Linked DNA regions of Drosophila melanogaster. Changing the gene in region 2 together with the main gene of any one other region gives a genetic interaction. Each region holds a gene or a part of one and is shown on either strand. Other genes may lie near its edges.

Region 1 (8,038 bases), on a different chromosome or scaffold from region 2:
CAGTTCGTGTAAGTTTTTGTTTTTTTTTTTTTAATCGAAACCAAAAATTGTCTCACACAACTCAGTAAACTTAGACAACTATTTTGAAAGGTCTCTTTCGTCCCCTTCGACGGGTAGAAAATGCTTCGATTTGGGATACCAGAGATGTTGACGTTCACTAAGGCTAGTATTCAATTTGCTTCGGATGTCCCTAACCGATTTCTAAGTCTTTGCTTTAGATTTCTAGCTGGTTGCCCCTTGGCTGGCAGACTTGCCTAACGAGTCTGTCAGAAGGGTTATTGGGCTTGTTGAAGTCGATTCTCGGGTTGTATGTCTATTAAGCCATGCTTAGGGGTTCTATATTTTGTCTATGTATTGCTTGATCGATCTGAGATTGATATTGGCTAGCCTAGATGTCAGCCGCAAACTTGGTGAGCAGAAAGCAAGGACTTTAAGCTGTTCAAGGATATAAAGATTGGTTCAATCGGAGCTATCTGATATCTCTCCTCAGCATAGGCTGGCTTTAGCTAGTTAGTTCGTTCCTAGTCATGATTTGGAACCATCATCGTCACATGTCCAAGACTCCAACCGAAACATCCCGACTTGCTGGCTCCTCAATTCTCGGTTCTCCTCGAGTTCCACCTAACTTCGCCGCTTCTTTGGCATTTTCTTTTCGTTTCTATATCCCTTCGTTTTCGATTTGCTGTTTATTGTAATCATCGAGTGATAGGTTTCGTTTAACATTTAGAAGAGAGATTATGCTTTCAATTTCTTTGTTTTCAGTTGAAATTCCCGAACTTGATTTTATTTAATAATTTTTATTTACAATATTTATTTTGTTTTCTTTACGAAATATAAAATAACTTTTTGTTTCGTTTTATTCTTGATTTTTGTTTTTATTGCGCATATAAAAATATCAAAAATTCTTTATTTTCTTTTAGGTTTTTTTTCTGTTTATATAATTTTTAATCTTCCTTTTGGAACTATTTGTAAGTCTGTTGTGGTTGATTTATATATATTTTTTGCTGACTTGCTCTAAGTATACAAAACTTGTTATGAACTTTTCAATGCCAAAAATGAAATGACAAAGATACATTTTTTATTGTGTCAAAGGTTAAACCTTTTCTGTGGCCTCAAATGGTGACTTCCATTTTCCACACGACACATACATCCTTTGTTTTTTTTTTGCATTTACTCTTGAGTTTTTGCTTTTTTTTTATAAATATTTACAAATATATATTTTTCGTAAAAAATTATAATAAAAAATGGCGTCAATTGTAATCATTTTGCTGTTGCCGTTATTGTTTCGAAATATGTTTCTGCCTGAATATAACTTTTAGTTGCTTGCTAATTATTGGCGCCTATAAACTGCATTGATGTATGTTTCCCTCGTTTATTAACTATTAGTTTGTTTGTTTCTGTTGTTGTAGTTTTGCATAAAGCACAGCACATTAGAGGCAATTTTAACATTATATATAACTTGTAATTGTTTCTGTTTCTTTTTTGCTTCTTTGGAGTATAAATAATTTATATATACGAGTGTTGCATGTGGGGGCGGTTGTTGAATATGTGTATTTCGATTTGTTGCTGTCAAGTTAACTAAACTTCATGTTCGCTATATGCTAAGTGGCTGTGTGAGTGCTGTCTGCGTGAATAATCTGTATAATCAATCAGCTTAAGCGACCCCTAGAGGATGCGATCCGATGATGCATGCTTTATCCTAGCACTAAGTCGCTCTAAGTCGCTTGGTTAAATGTTTTCCTTGCGTTTAAAATTAACTAATCACTTCAAGCGCTATGCCCCAAGTGTTATATTTAGTTGTATATATAATTATATATATATATATATATATATTTATATATATGTGTATAATCATATGTAGTAAATTATTTTCCTCGGCTTCGGCTGTTGCCCTTTCGTTCAACGTTCCCTTTCTCATTATACAAAAATAAGTTACTATCAATTCAATTCTCTTATTATTGGTGTATATAAACTAGCAAGAAAACCCTTTGCTTGCCTTCGTTATCATGGTATAATTAATATTTAATATATTCTTGCTGTTGTTTTCTTTTGCCCATTTCTATGTGTTATAGGTATAGTATAGTAATAGGTGATGAAGCAGAACATGATGTGTGCTGGTAAAAGTTTGTAAACTTGTTCTATTGCATCGATGCGAGACTTGTGGAAGTACTAATGTGCGACGAGGTGCCCAACGTGGAGGCCATGTCTCCTTGGTAGCTGAACTGTGGCGGTGAAACCAAAAATTGGATGAGCATACAGAACCCCACTTTAAATGTTTTCAACTAGATCTTACCTGCGGGAAAAGCGGCTCTTCGGCTATGGAGCCCAACGGGCCAGTGGGATCCGGCGGCGTCAACTCCACACTCTCTCCCGTAAACTCCTTGTCGAAGTACCTTGTATCCGTATCGGATGTCACCTGAGGCTTGAAAGGCGGCGGTATCTACGGTAAGCATTTTAAATTCGATTAATATATACGAATAGGTAACTGACAGATTTACTGTGCCCTACTTTTTTCAACACTAGATCTGTCCAGTTAATACTCGCAAAGAATGGATGTGCTTGTATCTCCTTGACATCATCCTTTCCACCTCCCAAACGCTTTTTGGGATCCTTAGCTAGAAGGCCTGCTAACAGATTTTTCGCCTCATCTGTGATATTACGCGGGAATTTTACCTCCTCCACCAAAATCAATGTAAAGAGCACATCATGATCACGATTGTAAAACGGAAGACGACCACAGATCTGTAAGGAATTATTTTTGTTTTTAATACTTGTTAATAGTATTTGCAGATGCAACAAACTCACCATCTCGTACATGACCACGCCAGTGCCCCACCAGTCCACCGCTTGGCCATAATCATTGTCATCTAATACTTCCGGAGCTAGGTATTCCGGTGTACCGCAGAAGGTTTTCGTTGTGCGGCCGTAGGTGATGTCCTCCTTGCACAGACCGAAGTCTGCGACCTTTATGTGACCATCTTTGTCCAGCAAAAGATTTTCCAGCTTTAAGTCGCGATAAATTATGCCCTGTGAATGCAGATAGCCCAGAGCAGAAATGATCTCTGCCCCATAGAAACGTGTTCGATCCTCAGTAAATATGCGTTCGTGGCTTAAATGCCAAAAGAGCTCGCCACCGTTCACGTACTGCATCACAAAACACAGGCGGTCGTTGGTTTGAAACGAATATTTGAGTGACTGCAAAACAGGGAAGACATATATTAGTTTTTTAACGTAAATTATATATTACTAGCAATACTTACAATGAGGAACGGATGATTTGTGGACTTGAGCACACGACTCTCGGTCAGGGTATGGGCCACCTCGTCCTTTTGGATAATAACTTCCTTTTTAAGAATTTTGATCGCGTACAGCTTGGCGGTAGCCTTCTCGCGACACAAAATAACCTTACCAAAGGTGCCCTTGCCGAGCACCTTGAGGAACTCAAAATTCTCCAAAGTCTACAAGGAGATAAGATGGAGTCAGCTCGATCACGCCCTTGGTCAATGACCAGGTGAGTGGTACTTACCACTTTCTTAACGCCGCTGCTATTACAAGTCGTTCCCTGTACGGAGAACTGCTCGGAAAGCTCGTCCTCGGCAATGGTGGCCATGTCCACGTCTGTCATGTCTGTCTGTTCAGATGGCGTCATAGCCACCTCACCCACATCTATGAGCCGGCTGGATACGTTGCGAATGGCCTCCGTCCACTGCTGGCGCTCTAATTCTGATTCGACGGCAAATGTCCTTTCGATTACCGTGGTCCATTGCAGGCCGCGGATGATGAAGGTGAATGGCTTGGGCCGATCGACGGTCATGATCTGGCAGCCGCGCACCGTAAAGTTGTTGAGCAGGAAGTCCGATGGCGTGCTGGCACTATCTGCCGGCTTGCTGCGGTAACCCATCAGTCTTCCATCGGAGTGGAGCACGAAGTAGCGCTGGCGCCAGTTCTTTATGTGCTCGCCCCTCTTCATCAGCCACCCCTCCTTTACGACCTGAGTCTGTTCCGTAAGCGCATGACCCGATGTAACGCTGGGCGAGCTGAGGTCGAAAGTTGTGTTTATTGACATGGTTCCGGAATCGTGTGTAGGGGCCGCGGAGGTCCTGCTTGGCCAGGATTGCTGCCAGCTGAATTTCTCTGCACTGCCGCTGGTGGGGCTGCTGTTTGGATGGGTGGATTGGCTGTAGATGATGTTAATGATGTTGCTCCCTGTGGTGGTGGGCGATTCCGGGATCCTAGAGGCAGATCCTGGCGCTGGGGCGCTGGCAACCACAGTCGATCGCCGCTGAAGAACAAACGGTAGGTAATTCGTGTTGAGGCTGTTTCACTAACCCTAGGGACAAGCTAATGAGGGACCTGTAAGAGGAGTACAGTGAATCCTTTATATTCATGCTGAGTTTGAAATACTTAAACTAAGAATGCGATCGACGAAAAGAAAAAGGCTTTAGCAGAGGGTTCGTCTAGTAACACCTTTACCTTCAGGGATTCAACATGTACTAGATATTAACTGATCCGCCAACTGTCGACATAAACTAGTCAAAGTGGACAAATGGAGTTCCCAAATGAGCTAGCTATCAAAAAAGGGGAAACAGACACTAAAAGGCTGCCAAGTCTATCCAGATATATACTTCCCACATCGCCTATCTCACGCTGATAGTAAACAATTGTTATTGTCATTTTGCATGTTTATGACAAATGCAGTTGGCGCTTGCGTCAGCAGCTGGTGCAAAACATTTGCGGCATTTCCGTCGCCAGAAAGGGATTGAATTGGATTGAGGACTGTGATTCTGATTGTATCGAATTGGATGGGTTGGTATGGTGTGGCATGGTATGGGATTGGATTCTTAGTCACTGGCCCACATGCAGATGTAGGCGCCATCGTCGCCTTGTTGTTGCTGCCACTTTCGGCTTCAAACGAAATTCCCCGCCATGTTACGCAGCGACACGGCGATACGAGTGAAAATTGTTCGCGATTGCATTTAGCGCGAAATTAAATCAAAACAAGTCGACGGCGGCGACTGTTCATGAACTTATGTATATGCATATATAATACATACATATACATATGTACACATACAGGGGACTCGCAGGCGGCACTCGCACTCGTACTCGCACTCACACTGGCACAACTGCAAAAGCAAAAGCATATTCATTTACAATTTGCGAAAATGTCAACGACGGATGGCCGCCGGCTGTACAAATGTCGCTATCTATCTAAAACTGTAAACAAATGTACATAAAATAAAAATCGACAAAATACACACACAGGCATAAGCGGACAGGCGCTCGCACACCGAGGCAGTCACACAGACAGGGCTGCATTGCAAAGTGCGAGTGAGGCCAGACTGTGGGTGCGAGGGGGAGGGAGACAGACAGTACGCGTGTCTGCCACAAAGGTGTATGAGTGTGAGTGTATGTGTGAGTGTCTGGCCGTGTGCGTGTGATTGTCTGGCCGTGTGGGTGTGAGTGGCTGAGTGAGTGAACCACCGAGTGTGCGAGTGTGTGTGGGCAGCGGCGACCTAGCAGCGCAACATGTCAAATCACTTCGTGGAAATGGAAATTGTGGAAATGCTGGTGAAAAATACAAGAACCCACCTAGTTTTGTAAAAAAAAAAACCCGACTTTTGCTTTCCCTACTGCACTGCGGTTTGTTTTCCTACTCGTTTTGGTATTTTCCTTTAGATGGTGACGGCAGCGACAACGTCACAGGCCTTCTTATTATTGTGCGTGTGTTGTTGTTGCTGCTTGCTATTGTTGTTGTTGCTGCTGCTGCTGTAGTTGTTGTTGTGTTAAGGTGCCAGACACCAGAGGACGGAACGAAACACACACAATCTCGCACTCGCGCACTGGAAGTCGATTTCCGCCACCCGGGCGTTTCCACTTGGTGTTTTCTTGCCTTCCAAAGCAACGTTGCATCAATTGCAAATGCTTAAAAACGTAGTTTTCATAAACAGAAGCACGCACACAGGCAAAGTAAATTTTCCAAGTACCGTTTAGTTTTTACGCTTCACTTTTTTTCGATAACTGGCTCGATAACTGATTCGATCCGCGTTGCCACCTGTTTTAGCGATAGTTAGGCGACTGTTACGGTGGAAAGATGCCAGAGAGAGACATTATTTAAGAGCTGTACAACGCGCAAATATCCCTTAAATTTAAATTAAATGTTTTAGAAGGCAATAGTTCTGTTTTCTGACTGTCTAGGCCGACTCTTTAACTAGAATTCACTTCAAATTTGAATGTATGAACTGCAGATTAATAATAATGCTGTATTGTTATTAAATTCATTTTTAAAAACTTTATTTTATATGCTATGTATACAAAACTATTTCTTATATCGACAAATTGTTATAACTTTTCAAAGCATAATTGATCAAAAATTTGGAAGCCCTATCAATTTTATATATGGTTCCTGTCCGCACTAAGTAGATACTCTGATAAGTATGACCATGTGTAAGTAGCTAGAAAAAGTCAGTTCTCTTTTCCAGTTTCCCAGATCAAATTTGATATTCACCTCTTTGGGCACTCTTGCTCAGATTTGTTTATGCAGAACGCGAAGTCTCCTTTGAATCCGAAAAAAAAACAAAAAACGAGTAGCGAATAAAGTGCCCCATTGGCACAAAACGAGGTAAATAACTTGCAACCCAATCGGAAGGGAGAACATAGCATGCCACTTTCAAATAAACAAATAACGACTCCAGCGCGACTGTGTGTGCGTGAGTCCCTCCCAATGTTTGTGTGTGTTATCAAAAAAGGCGTAGAAAAGTGCAAAAACAAAGGTGTTATTGACTCTCAACTTTCTTTTTCTGCCTATCGTGTGTATCACTGTGGGCTGTGGCCGAATAAGAGCGTTCGCCGAATATGAGCAATTGGAAAAGCATGAGCATAAGTAATGAGGCAGAATCGGTTGCATTCAATTAGTTGGAGAAATGAAAAATATGAAGAGATGGTGTAGAGAGAAGGGAAGAGTGCAGTCTCGAGCAATCAATACCAACGCAGCCACGAGCCCCCCTTTCTTTGTGTGTGTGTGTGTTACCGTGTGAAAACAAAACAAATGTATGCTAGCTGTGGAAAAGAAAGCGCATAATTGAATAATAAATAATAACAGAAACAGGGCAAATGGCAACGACTCAATGACAAAAGTAAAGCCGCCACCGCAGCAGAAGAAATGTGGGTGCAAAAGTGAAGAAATATGCCATTGTTTATGTGATTTGCAAATGTGCACATTCACACAAACACCGTGGCAAGATAACGGTTGTTGTGCGGGCGGGTGCATTGCTCGAAGTGGCTGTGCAATTGTAAGAGCGAGATAGCAATACGAAGAGAACAGGACTGAGCAGTACAGGGGCGAAATCCAGGGGACCTTAAACGTGGATTATGGGCACCTTAAATGTTTTTGTAAAATCAAATCACATAAATACCGTACTTTAAACTATTCAGTGAATTAAAATTGTGTTACTGATTTTAAAAATGTAAGTTGTAATTTCAAGTTTGGAAATGAACGGTATGCCCTGCACGTTTGTCTAGATCCACCCCTGGATAGAGCGCAGCAAAGAGAACAGTGCAAATCGAATTAGTCCAGACTTTTGGTCACGCCCTTGAACTTCGCATTAACCCACCAACGCCCCCCTTCCGCAGCTAGCACCTAAGGACCCCACACACCACATAAGATGTTCAACTTTATGAAGAAGAGCGCTGGGGATGAGGACAAGGAGCGTCGCAAGCGCGAAAAAAAACTGCGCAAAGAGGCTAAGGGCACCTCTGGTGGCCCGGGAATGGGAGGCGTGACTGGCGTCACCGGCAGCATGAGCACCGACGAGCTGCTCCGCCTGGACGAGGTGCGCCGATCGCTTAAAATCCGAGGGCGACGCAAGGAGAAGGAAAAGTTGCCGAGCGGAATTACGGCGGACTATAGCGCAGACTTCTTTGCCGCCCTCAATGCAGATGCAAACGGCGGAAGCAACGGAGGAGCAGTGGGAGCTGCAGATCCCGAGCAGGATCGTGGCAATGAGGAGATTGTAGCATCTGTGATGACGCACATCGA
Region 2 (4,807 bases):
GGGAATGTACTCACTCTGACTTCGATCTGGTTCAAATACAGAGCGTCGACTATTGCTTTCAGGCCTGAGGGTTTGCTAGGATCACAGAATTCGAGGGTGCCCGTCCAGCTGCGCAGCACAGACAGCAGTGCCAGCCGACAGCTGGTGTAGCGAAGTTCGCGCGCATCCCTGAAAGATAGTTTTATTTATAAAAGAATGATGTAACTGATAGCGCTTATCTACAACTTGTAGTAGTACATCTTGTGAAAAAACTTCAGTAGATGTTTGTGGGATAGTCTTGTTCGATTTTCCAAAAGTGTTTCGCCCGATTTAACTACTCATTTAGAGCATGAAACGAGGTCAATGGCCGTGCTGCCTTTAGTTATCTATTTTAGAATTTCATGTTTGCATCCGCTGTTTGATAATCTCAAAAGACGGCGTGATGTTCATCGATTATTTGGTTACAATTCAACAGCAGATATAATTACTCTACATTAAATTACTTTCGGCGAATTAATGAGTGAAGTGGATCCGTCTTACATCTGGCTTGATAAACTGCTTTTTGTTTTGGGTAACCCATTTGTAGTATTCTGCAGCCAAGCTGCAGTATTCAAGGAGGGATTGGTGGGATCTTCACTAGGGCACTCACTTGTTCTTATCGACGATACTCTGCCGGTAGGTGAAATCGCAATAAGGAGCTGCCAGGCAGTCCAGCCGCACACCGCAGATGTTCCTCGTTTGCGGCCACTCGAGCAGGTACAGAAGCACGCCGCACAGGCTCTCAGCGATGCGGGGATTGTGGCACTCTAGCACATTGCGGGTTATGGAGGTGACGCCGCCGCAGACGATCAGCAGCGCCGGATTGAGCACAGCGAACTCTGCCAGGGTGGCCAGGCAGGCACGCAACAGATTGTCGTTCTCCTCGATGCCGCTATCCGCCAGCGAGACCAGGCAGCGCACCACCGCCGGACTGATGTCCTCCGGCGCGATGGCCAGCATCTTGCGGACCAGCTTCAGTGCCTGGACGCGCTCGTCGTCGTTCTTCAGCATTAGATCGATGGAGCGGCAGAGCAGGTGCTGCAGCTGCAGTGCATTGAACGTCTTGATGTCATTGGGCGTGCTAATGGCATACCGGATCGTTCGCAGTGCCGCCGCTCGCACTTGGGTGAAGGTGTGCACCAGTGAGGCACTAAGGCTGCAATTAAGGGCGATCAATTAGCCATGTTAAGAACAATGGTTTCCCCAACGGGCATCTTACCAGTAGAGCAGCTCCTCGGTGGTGAAGCGTATATTGCTGTGGTGGGAGCCCTTTCGGGCCCCCAAACAGAGCGAGGCCAGCGCGTTGAGCAGAAACAGGCGCTTCGTGTCCCGCGTCTCCTCCAAACAGAGCATCGAGTATATTTCGAATGCATTTTCGGCGGCCGATCGCTGTGGATCCAGGCGGTAGAAGTCCTCCGGATCCTGCGAAACTGTAATGGAGGAAAAGTTTCATTGCTTTTCTTATCAGATCCGTACACACTAATTACTAATTAAAACAACCTTTTATGAATGAATAATATGGCCACATCGATGTACTTGAATATTACATAAATATTATTTGCAAGTAATAGCTTTTTCGGATATGCACATGTTCAAATCATCATAGTACATGGGGTTTTTACGGTCAAGAGGAGGTGCACACATGCATGCACACAGCGACTTGCATTAGAAAGCCATCAAAGTGAAATTGATCGTGGATCGTGGAAAGCTAATCAGCTCAGCCGCTGCCTCTGTCTCTGCCGACGCTGACGCAGGCTGTGCACGTGAAATGACAACAACACAGCGTCATAACAGTTTCGTTGTTGTTGCAGTTGTCGTCGTTACAGCTAACTGTACTTGCATGATGGATTTGGTTGGAAAAGGGGGAGAGCGACAGAGAGAGAGAGAGAGAGAAAGGAGAGAGCATGACGAGCGAAGAAGAACGAAAGAGTGAAGGACACGATGAATGGAAGAAACCAAGCTGAGCATTTCGTATGTTATTGTTTTTGTAGTTCTAGTAGTGGCTGTTGTTATTGTTGTTGTTTCTGCTGTTGCTATCGCTGTTATTGTTATGGTCGATGTTTAGTGAATGTCTATGTTGTTGCTTGTGCTGCGTCATCGTTTTTGGGGGCTCTCTCTATGCTGTGGCGACCGTTCTATAAATAATCGGCCAACATGTAGTCGAAGAATTTGGTCAAATGGCAACAGCAACAACAACAAAAGTAACCAAAATAAAACCAAAAAATACATAAATAAAAATAAAAACTAAATAGAAAATAGAAACGAGAACAACAACAAATGTATAAATAACGGAGGAAACACTGAGGAGATCAGGAGAAATGTTGATCAGAATGCCATGCTGTCGATACATGCGTACATCACTGTTGCATCGCTGCTACATCGTTACCGTTATGGGCAATGCTGCCAGTGTGCTCATTCCCGCCCCCCTCAACAACATATTATTGTTGTTGCTAGTTGCCATCAATGTCAACAAAAAAAAGAACCCTTTGCTACCAATTATTGGCCAAGTCCAATAAACAGAAGGCTGCTGGAGGGGTAGGTGGGGTTGGGGATGAGGTCGGCTCAAGATCCACAACAACAACAACAACAACAACAGCTGCTGCTGTAATGCTTATGCCTCGCCGTAATGCAAAATAATGCAAACTGAATGGAATGGCGGGGGTCGGTGGGGCGAGCCATGTGAGACAAAACGTCGAACGGAGTGATTGCGCCATTATGCCGATGCCACCGTCGCCGTGTTTGATGTCAATTAGCACATTCGTTACATTACCTTTGATGCGTAATTGTAATTTGCTCCGCTTGCCAAAACGCCAACTGGAATGTTGGGAGGCCATCGCGTTGCTTCGCCTCTTTTTCGATTCGCCGATGGGGGCGTGGCGAGGCGGGTGCGGCGCCGTCGCCCGCTCGCCTATTAGCTGTATGTCGAACACACACCCACACACCACAACACACAGATCACACTTAAATATATTGCTTTTCAATTTCACTTGCTGCACAATTTACATTTTTTTTATTGCTCGCCGCTTTAAAGTGACCGTCGTCGGCGCAGGAGAAAAAACCAACTACGAAGCGCCACCGCGGGCACGAGAATTTGGAATATTTACGCGACTTTCAATGAAAAACATTTCATTTTACACTTACATCTTACATTTACATTTGACATACAATTTTGCTTGCTTACTTCCTCTGAAAGGCTAGTGTCTGTAATATAATGAATTTCTTGTGCACTAATTATAAAAATTGAACGGAAATATTCAAAATATTACCTGAGAAATTCGAGGACAGCTGAATTACCCCCAGATAGGAATTCTCCTTATCGTAGAACTATTTTATATGATTATAAATTACGAAATTAAAACAAATACTGTAAGGGAAAATTTACTTAATATTCTTCTGCAAGATTATTTGGTGACTTTTTTTTTGGAGTCAATATATGTCATGTGTATTTACTCTACTTACTAATTTACATCAACTTGTTATATTAAAGCATACCGAGGTGCACAATTAATTTTCGTCACAAAGTAACAATGCTATTAACATATCGTAAATACCACACATGCAGTTGGTATTTTCGAAGGAGCCGCAAGCGGTTACACGGCCGCCCAGACTGTTATCGAAGTCGAGTATGCTCTTCCTCTTCGATAAACGCAATATTTTGCAATAAAGTAAATTAGTTTTAAAACCACAGTGGCGAGCACTTTCTGAGCAACTCGGCAGCCGCAAGCACTGTTCGCGCGTATCCGGTGCACAGGGTGAGCCCTTCGCGAACGCGATACACCCCACTACGCTCGAATTGTCCCGAAATCGTTGTTTTTGTTGTGTGTGGTGTTGGCTAGTGTTGTGCTCTTCATTGCCTTCCGTTTTTGCTCTGTGTATCTGTGCTCGGGTTCACCAATCCAATCGCAACGGCCAACTGATGAGTCTCAATTGTGTCCATTAACGCGACGCGAGTAGCACCCACCCACCCTCCTCCTCCCCCCTCCAACACTTGCCAGTTGGGCCCGCGCCCCACTTCACACCATCACCGCCAACGCCAGCGCCCCACCCGCAACCCCTCCTCCAAATCCGAAACGAAAACCAAATCCCAATCCATATAGTAATACCCAACCCAACCACTGCGAGATGGCCAGCAGCAGTAGCAGCAACAGTTTTGGGGGCGTGGCCGGCGTGAACGGGGATCTGTGGCGCGAGTGCGTCGCCTGGCTGACCAGGTGCAAGGTCATTCCGCCCGACCACAAGGCCGCCCAGCCGGACGCCGAGATCCGCATCCTGGCGATGACGCTGCGCGACGGCGTGCTGCTCTGCAACCTGGTCATCCACCTGGACCCCAGCAGCTTGGATCCGCGCGAGTTCAATCGCAAGCCGCAAATGGCACAGGTGAGTGAAATGCGAGAAGCAAGTGACTTTGCTGGCAAATTGTGAATGGGTGGCACACTCTAAACCTTGTAAACAAGCAACACTGAGAGAAATAGGGGGAAGTATATCTGTAAAAATAATTTAAATCATTAAAACAAACATCACTTACAATTAGTGACAATAATTGGCCAAAACATCATAAATTCATAAAGAAATAGAATATGCCAAATTTATGCACGAATTTGCATGTGTGAATAAATAAATAATAAACATAAATATATATAAAATGAAATAAATGCGTTTCCAGAGAAAAATTACTGTAATAATTTAACGAATTCGATCGAAAATGTGTTTAAAATGTGCCGAAATAAATTCTCCGAAATCCCATATTTTGTTCAGTATGCCAAATTAGAGTGAAATATTATTGAACAAT
Region 3 (5,954 bases), on a different chromosome or scaffold from region 2:
ACATACACACATTAAATCGCAGATGGAAAACAAGTTACTTTCGATTTTCGAGCCTAACCGCCTGACCAATTCAATTTGAAATCTTTATTTTCATGTCTGTAATGGTTTCGGATGTTGCACTCAATTAAAGCCAAGCCACATTGTTCTGATACAGATACAGAAACTGCAGAACTGCAGAAAATGAAATCAACGCCCTCTCATCAACACACAAAACACAAATCAAAAATCGAACGCGAGTGCAGATAGGGAAATATCGAGAGAAGTGCAGATGAAAAGATCGACAAAATATATACATACATTTAAATGTACAAAGCCTAGCATTTGTGTCGTGTTACTTTTTGGTTTCCTCATGCTTACTTATTTCGAAAATACAATACAATACCATTTAGGTTAAAGATGAAGGTTCGTCGTATCCATACCCATTCACATGTTGTTACACTACGGGAAACTCAAAAGCTTAAGGTTTCTTTGAGATAGGTTTCATGATTCAAGTGGAAATAGGGAGATGATTCCAAGGTTGATGTCCACGGTGTATGATTTCATGAACCACATCCACCTCATAGAATGCTTCAAGGATGCTAGCACTCCTGTAAGTAATGCACTGATTGCCCAGATCGAGTCGAATTCAAGTAAAAAGCATGTATTTGTTAGTTATTATGCACATGTTTCATTTATTATTGCATTTCATGTTGCTGTGTGTGTAGCATTATTATCGAATTATCAGTATGCTTACTATTATTGTATTCTATTACCAAAAATAATTTCTTAAAACTTGTTTACTCGTTTAATTTATTTATAGGTATATTATCAATTATTTTAAGTTTGCATTCTGCAACTGCTCGGCGTTGAGTGTTTGCTATGTAATTGGATTTATACTTGCCAGCGGTAACTCGGTAACTTTTTCAATAATTCACTTTTGCTCAAACTACAATTACTTGGAACTAAAAACTCCAGCGGGAAGTAGAATGTTTTTAAATCTATATTCGTGTCCGTGGGCGCGGGTTGTGGTGGGGTGGGATGGGGCAGGTGTACATAGAACGAAACCGATATTTAAACATACTTTTATTTATTCTGCTGTCTAGATTAGCTTTTGTTGCTATTGGCATTAGTAACTAATTTGTGTGATAGATTTTCGGATTCGGTTTTGTGTGTGGGGTTCACTATGTATTAAGACTTTGTTTCATTACAAGTTGATACAAAACATATACGTACAATTAACGTGCCTAAAAGTTATAACATTTTTAATTTGCTAAATAATAAATTTATGGGTATTTCGCTGCTGCCCAATAAGTAAACAATATATATATATATAAAGAATTGCCGAATGGGTCCCTAATATGGGGAACTGGTTTACAAACACAACGTTTAAACGATTAAGATCGGGATTAGGGATTGAACAAAGCCAATGGAAGGACATTTGAGGATTAGTATAGCGTTTAACCTAGCCCGAGGCGCGGGCGACGCTCTAAGACTTTTTTACATACAATACATCGTTTGTTCGCGTTATCATATTCTTCTCTTGTTTGGAATCACAAATGTTAGCTAGTATTTAAATACACATGTAGGTAAGACATTCAAAAAGGAAAATCGGGGATTTCGTTTAGCGTGGAGAATGCTCTTGGTGGTGATGGTGTTAGAGAGACGACGGCTGTGGTGGTGATAAAATGGGTGGCAAAGTGCGGCAACCTTCAAGCTGCTACTGCTACTGCTCCTGCTCCAGTTCCTGCTCTGCTGGATTCACTCCAAATTTCGCACCTCGAATCGTTTGTACGTGTAGTTGATAAAGACCCAGTCCTTCGCAATCTCACCGCCCTGCGGTATGGGCGCCGATGCTGCAATGGATGCACGTTAGTCTGTGTGCTCGTCCCTTTGCTTAAAAATATACTTACGTATCTCCAGCGACACATCGGGAAACTCGTCGAAGTTGGACGTATCGTCGATTGAGCGCACCTCAACGGGTATGGCCGCGGGACGCTCACGTATGTGCTCCCAGTCAACTCCCCGGAAGAACGGCACGGACTTCAGATCCTCCAGACCGCGCTGGGAACCCAGCCGGCGATCGGCCTCGCAGCAGAAGTTGATGATCGTCTCCTTGGCCTCCTCCGATATGGGGATCTCTGGGGGAAATATCAGCGTCTCGCGCCAGTTCATCACCTTGCGGTAGGTGTCCTGGGGATTGTCCGAGCAGAATGGAGGATAGCCCATCAGCATTTCGTACATGATGACTCCCAGGGACCACCAGTCGCAGGCGGGTCCGTAGCCAGTCTGCAGAAATACTTCGGGTGCAATATAGTCCGGCGTTCCCACGGTGCTGTAGGCGAGGGCGCGTCGATTTCGCTTCCACGACTCGGCACGTCGCTTGGAGTCCATCGGACTGCAGGACAAGCTAGTTTATTTAATAAATACAAGCTTAGATTCTTTCACATCTTACCTGGCGCACGTGCCTATAAAATCGGATGGTTTCGCCTGCGACAAGTCCCGATAAAAGTCTGTTCGATGCGACTTCTTTAAGCCAGTGCACAGTCCGAAGTCGGAGAGCTAAAATAATAATAGAGTTTTTAGTGGGCTCATCTCAATTATCTGGATTCCACTTACCTTCAGATGCCCTCGCGCGTCCAGCAGCAAGTTATCGGGCTTGATATCCCTGTGTATGAAACCGAGTTTGTGAATAGAATCGATCGCCAATGCCGTCTCACTGATATAGAACTGTGTGCCCTCCTCGGATAGCGTGTCCTTCTTCATCAAAAGCGTCATCATATCACCACCAGGCAAGAACTCCATTATCAAATATAAATTGACGGGATCCTGTGGAAAGATATTTCAAAAACATTCTCACATTATTACTGAGTAAGAAAATACTTATATATGAATGCAATTGTATTTACATTCATTGTACAATAATTGTAATATGCAAAAATATCTTATTAAACAAATATTTAACGTCAGAGAAATGGCGATTCAGTGTAGGCTGGTTCGCCTGTGTCAAGAACTTTCACCGAGAAGAAGTTGACAAAAGAGAATCGAGAAAAAAACAACAAAGGCGGCCCACGCAGAGAATGAGAGAGGAAGCGAGAGAGCAAGAGAGACGTGACCATATGATTGGCAAAGGCGCTTTTGGCATTTGCCGTTGTATTGGTTTATTGATTTTTTTGTCCGTGTTTTAACACAATTCTTTTGTTATGTGCGCTGCCGCCCGCTCCTTCACCCCATCACCCTTTCTCCCACCCACCCTATATCATTGTTTTTGTTGTAGCTGGCGCTCGTCACTCACCTGGAAACTGTAGTACATCTTCACCACCCACTGATGATCGGCCTCGACCAGGACATCGCGCTCGGCTCGTACGTGTGCCACCTGCTCCTTTTCCAGCATGTCCGCTTTGCGCAGCACCTTCATGGCGTACACATGTCCCGTGTCCTTTTTCTGCACCAAACGCACTTCACCGAACGCGCCGCGTCCGATGACTTTGAGGGCCTCAAAGTCCTCCACACCGAGGCGCAATCGCTTCAGCCGGAGATACTCCGTCTCCTTCTGGGCATGCTGCAGACGCTTCTCCTGGCGCTGCGCCTCCGACAAGCTCTCGTCCTTCAGCTGAGCCTCCAGCTTTGCGAGGCGCTGCTTTCGCTCGCCATACTGCGTCACCAGGTTGCTGTAGTAGTTCTCCAACGTCACCTTGGCCTTGGTGGCCTTGTCCAGTGTGTGGTCGCTGAATCTGATCGAGGCACCGTCCGCGTCCTGCGTTCTGCTGCTCATCATCTAAGCTGGGGTTTTTGTCCTGGTCACCTCGGTCCTATTTGGGGCTTGTGTGTGTGCTCCCTGCGATGTCGGTGCGTGTGCGTGTGTGTGGTGAGGAGTTATGCACTTGCCAATGCACACACACTGCTTTCTTCGCCCGTTTCTTGCCTTTTTCCTCGGTAATTTGTTGAAATTCCTCCCTCTGCTGCTTCTTCTTCAAGAGCCATTCGCATTTTGCATCCCCAACAAAGCAAAGTTGGCTGCGATCCAGTGGGGCTATCGATAGCTAATCGATTGATTTTAGAACTTTAGTGCTTTTGGCTCGCAGATAGTCATGACAATTAAGCTTTCACCGACAATTGTATAAAATTTATGTACTGAAATTACGTTACTTATTACTTACATTGATTTTTTTAATTAAAATTGATTAAATTTAAATTTATTTAAATTTACTTTAAGGTCATGTTATTATTTACTGTAATTCTATTAAGAAACAAAGCTTAAACAATAGTTAAAATATCTTAGCTTTAACCTTTTAGCTTGAATCTTGCCAAAAGACTCTTACTTCGAAAATTGTCATCACTGCCACCAGTCCAATTAGTAAATAAATAGAACTTACCGACTTGGGATAAATTTTTCCATGTCAGGCGTACATAAACCAGTTGCCTTTGCTAATCTGGCCATTTGGCGCCTGTGACGGTCCCGCGCAATGAGCATAGTCAGCTAATAATGGCCCGCATCACCAGTATTCTGGACTTGGACCCCAGTTCTCTGTTGTTCATCTTCAAGCTTCTAAGCTTGGAGGACCAGTTGCACTTGGCGCGATGCTGTCGCATTTTTAGGGATGCCTTTCTTCGCCTGCATCGCCATGATTTCCAGGATGTTGTTGACAAGGATATGAGTATAAGGACTCTGGAGGATTGGCGCACCTTTCTGTGGCTCTGTGGCAGTCGCATCGGTACACTGGAATCCCACTTTGACGATGATCACCCGCTGCAGCTGCTCCCGATGATCAGCAGACACTGCTACCGACTGAAGTCCATCTCTATATACAATGCAACAGTGGCACGGGCGCAACCGTATTTATTGAGGATGAGCTCCCTGGAAAAGGTGCACGTGCGTAACTACAAGAGCACCAGCAAGGATCTAATAAAAGCCATTGGGATACACCTTCCGCGGGTCAACAGTCTGAGCCTGGAGAGCTTTGAACGCAAGGAGTGTAAGAACTATTTAATGTTCACCTTATCACAACAATATTATTTAATTGCTTCTCCCTTCACAGTACAAGAAGTACGTCAGTTTAGCGAGATGCTGGAACTTGGCTTGTACGACGACGTGACCGCCTCGGAATTCGCAACAATTGTGAAACCCATGAGGAAGCTGCGATGCCTTCAGCTGCGCAACGCCAAACGCTTTCTGACTACCAGCAATCTCAGGATGCTGGCCACCAACTGCCGCCACCTGGAGAAGCTGACGTTCAATGACTGCGACGCCGATCTGTTGGTCCTGCCGCAGTTTGTAAACCTCAAGTACCTGCAATTATACTGCTCGGAGGATATGAAAACGCGCCTGTTCAAGGCACTGGCCAAAAGCCAGTGCTCCATTCAGTTGGAATACCTCATCCTGCACCGCAAACGCTGGATTGACGAGGAGCAGGCGCAGTACATCAGTGCTTTGAAGTGTCTCCGGTGGCTGGTCTGCAAGCCTCGTGACGATCTGTGTGTTCACCACTTGGCGAAGTTGAGTCGATTAGAGTGCCTTTCCATACAGTCCGCTCGTGAGATTGGAGAAACGCAGCTCTCCCTTTTGGTGGCCAACAATGAGCGCCTTCGGTATCTGAACATTTGCTATTGCCTGGGCATCACAGACGCCTTCGTCTTGGACACGCTGGCCAGCTTATCGAAACGCTCAGCTCATCAAACCCTAGAGCTATTTGCCGCGGCCACTGACATTAGGCATGACATCATGGAACGGGTGAGTAATATTTAAAGCACATACATATATTCGAAAGTCCTTATGTTAATGTGACACTTTGTGCTTCGTTTGCAGCTACCGCACGAATTTCCCCTGAAAATGCTCTGTTTGAACTTCGAGTGCAGCGATGGAATGACAAGCGGCGGACACTTTTATGCCGATGAGCCGGAATTCGATCGCCAAGCCTTGTGAGGCCTTATTCGTTTAACAACGAATGTTTCTTCAATCATTACCAAAAATACAACGT

The links.
Region 1: of rictor (region 2) and Akt, changing one suppresses a phenotype caused by changing the other (phenotypic suppression), as found in Drosophila melanogaster (one study listed by BioGRID).
Region 3: of rictor (region 2) and trc, changing one suppresses a phenotype caused by changing the other (phenotypic suppression), as found in Drosophila melanogaster (one study listed by BioGRID).

Annotation. Positions count from the first base shown.
Region 1 is NT_033777.3:16,097,215-16,105,252, reverse strand, and holds the start of Akt (Akt kinase), read right to left. Parts: upstream 6,026-8,038; 5' UTR 5,593-6,025; intron 4,494-5,592; exon of another isoform or gene 4,474-4,493; intron 4,354-4,473; 5' UTR 4,310-4,353; coding exon of another isoform or gene 4,067-4,309; coding exon 3,527-4,066; intron 3,459-3,526; coding exon 3,261-3,458; intron 3,196-3,260; coding exon 2,806-3,195; intron 2,743-2,805; coding exon 2,509-2,742; intron 2,441-2,508; coding exon 2,294-2,440; intron 2,223-2,293; coding exon 2,139-2,222; 3' UTR 1-2,138. Other genes in the region: Mhcl (myosin heavy chain-like), read left to right, coding at 7,665-8,038. UniProt on the Drosophila melanogaster protein: Serine/threonine kinase involved in various developmental processes. During early embryogenesis, acts as a survival protein. During mid-embryogenesis, phosphorylates and activates trh, a transcription factor required for tracheal cell fate determination.
Region 2 is NC_004354.4:19,258,199-19,263,005, forward strand, and holds the start of rictor (rapamycin-insensitive companion of Tor), read right to left. Parts: upstream 3,043-4,807; 5' UTR 2,853-3,042; coding exon 2,789-2,852; intron 1,646-2,788; exon of another isoform or gene 1,547-1,645; coding exon of another isoform or gene 1,519-1,546; intron 1,449-1,518; coding exon 1,238-1,448; intron 1,175-1,237; coding exon 629-1,174; intron 169-628; coding exon 15-168; intron 1-14. Other genes in the region: Vav guanine nucleotide exchange factor, read left to right, coding at 4,141-4,395.
Region 3 is NT_037436.4:19,830,339-19,836,292, forward strand, and holds trc (tricornered), read right to left. Parts: upstream 3,967-5,954; 5' UTR 3,755-3,966; coding exon 3,272-3,754; intron 2,806-3,271; coding exon 2,596-2,805; intron 2,539-2,595; coding exon 2,432-2,538; intron 2,387-2,431; coding exon 1,890-2,386; intron 1,833-1,889; coding exon 1,738-1,832; 3' UTR 526-1,737; downstream 1-525. Other genes in the region: CG32221 (uncharacterized protein), read left to right, coding at 4,463-4,952, 5,016-5,707, 5,783-5,899. UniProt on the Drosophila melanogaster protein: Serine/threonine-protein kinase involved in controlling cell structure and proliferation of a variety of polarized outgrowths including epidermal hairs, bristles, arista laterals, and dendrites.